Linked DNA regions of Oryctolagus cuniculus. The protein of the gene in region 2 purifies or fractionates together with the protein of the main gene of each other region. This does not show direct contact. Links are inferred from orthologs where the notes say so. Each region holds a gene or a part of one and is shown on either strand. Other genes may lie near its edges.

The links. The genes of interacting proteins can lie anywhere in the genome.
Region 1: the proteins of CHD4 (region 2) and UBTF purify together in Homo sapiens (affinity purification with mass spectrometry, with the first as the bait; 3 studies listed by BioGRID). This does not show direct contact. The link is inferred for Oryctolagus cuniculus from reciprocal best matches to the Homo sapiens genes CHD4 and UBTF.

The regions. Positions count from the first base shown.
Region 1 is NC_091448.1:19,049,938-19,052,327, reverse strand, and holds part of UBTF (nucleolar transcription factor 1), read right to left. Parts: coding exon 2,262-2,390; intron 2,172-2,261; coding exon 2,130-2,171; intron 2,042-2,129; coding exon 1,928-2,041; intron 1,820-1,927; coding exon 1,664-1,819; intron 1,363-1,663; coding exon 1,207-1,362; intron 1,121-1,206; coding exon 1,010-1,120; intron 653-1,009; coding exon 564-652; intron 472-563; coding exon 282-471; intron 1-281. UniProt on the Homo sapiens protein: Recognizes the ribosomal RNA gene promoter and activates transcription mediated by RNA polymerase I (Pol I) through cooperative interactions with the transcription factor SL1/TIF-IB complex.
Region 2 is NC_091440.1:102,904,632-102,908,278, reverse strand, and holds part of CHD4 (chromodomain-helicase-DNA-binding protein 4), read right to left. Parts: intron 1,942-3,647; coding exon 1,820-1,941; intron 1,638-1,819; coding exon 1,422-1,637; intron 1,225-1,421; coding exon 1,106-1,224; intron 980-1,105; coding exon 738-979; intron 510-737; coding exon 382-509; intron 138-381; coding exon 2-137; intron 1-1. UniProt on the Homo sapiens protein: ATP-dependent chromatin-remodeling factor that binds and distorts nucleosomal DNA. Acts as a component of the histone deacetylase NuRD complex which participates in the remodeling of chromatin.

The DNA.
Region 1 (2,390 bases), on a different chromosome or scaffold from region 2:
CGGTCCCCACTCTCTCCCTGGGCCCTCGGCAGCGCTGGCTGAGCAGGACACGCGTGACTCCCCCCACTTTACAGGAGTGACTGTTCAGCCGAGGCACACAGGGGAAGCTCAGAGGCTGGGAGCCAAGCACAGGCTGGCCCCAGCTCGAGAGAGGCAGAGGCGGGCTGGCTGGAGTTGTTCTGACCACGTGCTCCAGGGCGAGTTCCTTAAGCCATCAGAGCCTTGGCTCCCTGGCTGCCGGGTGCCCGCCTCTCCCCCTCCGGAGGCCCCCGGGCCCTCACCTTGACCCAGAGGTCCAGGTGCACCTTGTACTGCTTCTGCTGCTCCTCGGCCAGCTTCTTGTAGTGCTCCTTCTGGCTCTGCGAGATGCGCTGCCAGCGGCTGCCAATCTCCACCATGCGCTCTTTCAGTGGCAGGTGGTTCAGCTCGCCGTTGGACAGCAGCTCCTGGGAGAACTTCTGGTAACCGTTCCTGGGGGCGACGGGCAGGGCAGGCAGGGTCAGGACCCCCGCAGGGCAGCCCCCTCCCCAGCCCCAGGTGGGTGGCGGCCGCGGGGCGCTCACATGGGCGGCTTCTTGGGTTCCCCCTGGAACTTCATCTTCTTGGAAGAGTTGGCGGCAGCCGGAGGCGCCCTCATCTCACTCAGCTCCCTCTGTGCAGAAAACCATGAGGGTCACATCAGCCCCACCCCATGCCCGCAGCCCCCTCATCAGGCTCTCCTATGTGCTAGGCAAGGGGGGGAAACTGAGGCAAAGTTGGAGAGCAGCTTCCTAGTAACACACAGTTGGGACAGGTGTCAGTGCTTTCAGAGTTGCTTTGGTATCCCCACGAGCCACCTGGGGGGGTCGCGCCCCCCCCCAGTTTAACTGAGACAGAAGAGGTTTGCTCAGGCTCAAACAAGCCATGCTAGGATTCCAGGCTCCAGAGGCCCACGAGCAAGGACTACCCCGAGGGAGGTCCCCTGGCCTCCAAGGCAGGAGGTGGTCCCATCCCGCCCTCCCACTCCCACCTCATAGCGCTTTTGGTCTTCGGCCGCCTTCTTAATCCACATCAGCTTTTCCTTCTTCTCCATGTTGTTCCAGGTCATCTCCATGGCTTTCAAGGCCTTCACCCGGTCGTTCTGGGGGCAGACGGGGCGATGAGCTGTGCAAGGGGTCCCCAAGGGCCCGAGGCTGCCCTGCGAGCCCTGCCCCACTGCCCTGCCACCTTGAAGCGGGCCAGGTAGTCGCCGATGACGCTCTGCTGCCAGATCTCCTCGGCTCTCTTGGGCGACTCGGGCAGCTTGCCCCGCTCCTCGCGCTCGGCCCCGGGCTTCCTCTCCGACTGCGCCTTCAGCGCCGCCTCGCGCGCCTTGTACTTGGCCTGCAGCAGGGGAACCGCACAGGCGTCAGCTTCCCCGCCGCCCGCAGGGGGCGCGCGACGCCCAGTCCCGCAGCAGGAGGGCGGGGCCCGCGGCCGCGTGGGCGGGAGCAGCTGTCTCCCGCCTGGGGCTCAGCCTCCGCCCACGGGCCTGCTCCCCGGGGAGCCTCAGCCCTCAGCTGACAGCTTCCCGCCTTCCGGCTCGGCTCGCGGGGCTCCCAGCCCCGCCAGCTGAGCGCGGGCGCACGTGCGGGCCGCACGGGGCGAGGGGAGGCGCAGCGCTGGGCTCCCGGGCGAGCCTGACCTTCTTCTTCTCGGACAGGTCGTTCCACATGCGAGCCAGCAGGCGGGTCAGCTCGCTCTCCGAGAGCTCGGGCCGCTCCTCTTGCAGCTGCCGCCGCTTCTCCTCGGAGAAGATGAACATGGCCGACACGGGCCGCTTGGGCTTCTCCGAGCCCCCCTGTGCAAGTGCAGAGAGGGTCGGGGTCCACGGGGTGCCGACGGGGGAGCCCTGCCCCAGCCCCGACACCTGCCTGCCCGCCGAGGGGAGCCGGGGGAGCCTGCCCACCTTGCCTCCTTCCTGGGAGGGCTTCTTGGAGGCCGGGCTGGTGGCTTGCTTCTTGTTGATGTTCAGCATCTTCTCCTCGCCCAGGACCCGCTGCTGCTCCTCCTCGGGCAGGCTCTGGCACGGAGTGGGGAGGGCAGGGGTGAGGGCTCGGGCTCCCCAGGGCAGCCTCTGCCCAGCGCCCCGACCTCAGCCCGACGCTCACCTCGAGGAAACGCAGCAGCTCCACCTCGTAGTCTTTCTTTTTCTGGGAAGGTAAGGGGAACCGCGGTCAGCCTTGGGCAGCCTCGCCGGAGAGCCCGCAGGCCCCAGGGGCTGCGGCACGCGCGCGGCTCACCTGGTCGCACTTCTTGTGGTAGGCGTCCTTCTCCTTCTGCGACAGCAGCTTCCACTGCTGGCTGCACAGCACCATGCGCTCCGTGCTGGGCACGTCCTTCATGCTGGCCATGAGCTCTGCGCAGTACAG
Region 2 (3,647 bases):
CCTTTCTTTTTCTTTTTAGTGGTTCGGAGTTTCTTGCGGCTCCGGCTGCTGCGGCTGGTGGAACCATCAGAAACAGAATAGCTATTGATACTGGCATCATCGAAGTCAGATTCCACATCTAAGTCATCATCCTCACTCTAGAGAATGAAAAGAATGAGTCAGGTTAGAAATGCCAGCCAAGAGGAAGGAGAGTGGTGGAGAGGGGTGCACTCTTTCACCAGGGCCATCAGCAGCCATTAAGGACTCTTAGACAGGGAGCCCAGCTACATGCCGTTCTGTGGCCAAATCCCCACATTCTACGTGAAGGGCGGGTCCCGACATGAGGCAGCACCTTTCTATTAGACACGGCACCTTGGGCAAAGGGATGGGCTGGGGACTCACCGAAGATCTCTTACGCTTGGAACCAAAGCCTCCCAGCTTAATTTTCAGGGGTGCTACTTTCTTGGGTTTAGGCTTCTTGGCATCAGGTACACGAGGGCTACCCTTGGGCTTCCTCCGAGCATTGGGACCTAAAAATCAGAATGCATCCAAGTAGATATCTCACAGGGGTAAAAGAGTACGGAAAATCAAATCTCTCCCTTAGCTTGCTTCACGTGTCGGGCTTCCCCAATCTCCTTCCTAAACTCAAGACCCAGTGCGCCCTCCCATCTGCTACCTCAGGGCCAACAGGGCAGTCCATGCTCTGTCTGACATCCTAAGTCCACACCAGGCCCCTCTCCCACTGCATCCCATCTCACCTTTGCCCTCCTTGGTCTTGGCTTTGCGGATAGGCACCTCCACAGGGGGAGGTGGTGGTGCCACTTCGGTGGCTGTCACCATGCTCTCCACCACAGCCACTGCAGCCGCTGCCGCCGCTGCCACCGAAGCCCCAGAACTCCCTTTGAAGGGGTTGTTGGTACTGAACTCCCGCCACTTAGCACCCAAAACCATCATCATCTTGGAGACAGCAATCTTGGGGTTTTTGGCTGCAATGAGGGGTCTGGTAGAGGAATGGAAGAAAAAAAAAAAAAAACACAGAAAAGAGAAAATGTTTAAGAGTAAAAAAAGAGAAAGAGAAGAGAGATCATAGAAGAAGTCTCCTCCCACCAAGCCCCTGCTGGTTTACCGGACAAACTGGCTGAAGGCCTTGTAGTTGGTGAGGGTGCGATAATCCTCCTCCGAGAACACATGGTCAATGTCTTCCATGCCCCAATCTTCTAGGAGCTGAGCGGATGATTTAGGCTCCTGCAGAAGAGAGCAAGGTCAAGGTCCTGCCACCCGGTGCCCACACTTGCTAAGGGAATTTGAGTTCAAACTATGGCTCGTGAGACCCGGGTAACAGAGTTAACAGGAAATAAATAGAAAGAGGTGGACAGAGAACGTTCCAGGGGGCTGCAAGGACAGAAGTTAACAGCTAAGAAAAGGTGACAGAGGTCCAGCACCTTGGAATCATCGTCATCGTCATCTTCCTCCTCCTCCTCCTTCCGTTTGGATTTGTTCTTCTTCTCTTTCTTAGGCCCAAGCTTCTTCTTCTTCTTCTTGCCAGGGGTATAGTCGCTGCCCTCACTGTCTGAGCGCAGAGCCACCTCTTCCTCCTCCTCCACAAACTCCGGCCCCTCCCCAGAGCTGTCCCCCAGCTGCCGGCATAAGAGCAAACGCTGGAGCAGGGAAGGGGGAGAGGGAGACAGACACGCACATGCTACACACATGCTGACCTCAGGACAGCCCTGAGGCTCATCGCCAAGACCCAGCCCGCCACTCCAGAGGAGCCAAGGACCCCGAACCTTCCCAGAGCTCCCCCTCTTCCTGCCGTCCCAGTAACATTCAATCACCCACTCACCTCCTTTTTTTGGCGCTTGCTCTTGGGGATTTTAGGGTCCCGAGGTTTCTTAGGCTTTTTCTTCTTCTTGAGCTTTGGAGTCTCTGCTTCTGATAAATCCTCTTCTGGGTCCTCTTCGTTCTCTGCATACATTGGCCAACAGCGATGCGCAGCGAAGAGATCAATAGCAAAAGGTCAGGCCCTAATCCAGAGGCTTCCGACTTCATTCCCCACCTCCTGCCCCAGATTTTCCTGAAGAGAACTGCTATGCTCTCCGCAGAAGGCCGCTGATCCTCAGGACAAAAACACCGAGAGAGCTGGAGATACCCAAAACAGGCCTGGCAGCTCAGAGCAGGCCCACCTCAGGCCGCTGGCCAGAGCCCAGTCCCTCTTCCCCGTTTCTCCAGCAGACCTCAGGTGCTCACCAGTGCAACTGAACCGAGATGCCTACAGCTCACCAAACAAGAGAACTAGGCCCAAGCCTCCTGCAGCTGGCCACCAAGCACTCTATACACCAGGGAGTGAGAATGAAAGGTCTACCCAAAGGCAAACACTACAGAGCGGAGGCTCAGCGCATGCCCAGAACACCATCAGCTTCGGGGTCCCAGACACCACACCTTTCTGGAATCCCTCTGGGATCATCACTGCTCAAAACAACCAGACTCCACGCCCCAGGTTCAGTTGCCAGCCCAACCTCGTGTCCTCTACCACACACAATTTCCTTCCCCCATCTCAGCCCTACTCTTCTTCCCCAGCTCCTCCTGGGTCAGTAGCCTCTTCTCTCTAGGGGCCCAAATCAGCCCAGCTGTCACCATCTCCCCCTCAGCCAATCCTCCTCCCATCTGGCTCCACCTCCTCCCCTGGCTGGAAGCACACACAAAGCCTGGGGTAATACTGAGAGCTCCTGGGCAGGGATAGGTGGGAAGGGGCACAGAGGGGGAGGAGAGGCCAGGAGGCAGCTCCCTTTGTAGCAGACATTCACACCAGCACACCAGCTCCCTCCTCCCCCCTCCCTCCCTCTTCCCAAGCCACCCCCGCTGGGGGGGGGGGGGGCGGGGAGTGGAGAAGGGAGTGGAGAGAAGAAGGGAGTGCCTCACCCACTGAGGAAAGGGAAAATGGCTCCTGACCGCAGAAGCCGGCCCAGGGCACCCAGCTGCCAACATAGGACAGACAGGAAGTGGCAGGGGAGGGGGGCGGGGTTGACAGAGGTAGCCAGGAGAGACTGCCCTCACAGGAGACTTCCCAAATAGCTACCTGGCCCCAGGTCCAAATGCAACCCATCTTTAACACCTACTCTGGGATGACCCAGTTCTTGAGAGGTCACACCTATGTCCTAGGCAAGGAAACCCAAGGACACCAACACACACATGAAGGGTCAAACTCTGGGAGGGACTGGACCACTCCTCCAACCATCATCAGGTTTTCCGTCACCAGGGACAGAGCTGAAGTCTGCAAGCGCTCGGCTTCCTCCTTGACCCCATCCAAAGTCCCAGCAGGAACACCGGAGCCATGTCCAAAGCCCCCAAATTTTAAGAAGGTAGACAGTGATAGGAAACAATGTTTCCTTCAATACCACAAGGAGCTTAGCTCCTGACCCTCCCCCTTCTCCCCCCTAAATGCTTCTGGCTCCGCCCTTCTGGAGTTAACCATATACTAGGGAACATAAGACATTAGGCTGGACAAAGCCCCATCAGCCTCCCCCTCTGACTCAGCCCAGGATCAGGCCAGGTACAAAAAAGCCCCTCACATTCCCATGGGAATAGGACACCAGCCCCAATCATTTTCTTAAGGGCTTCTCTCCAGTAATCCCCAGGTCATCACTCCATCACCACCCACATCTCAGAGACAA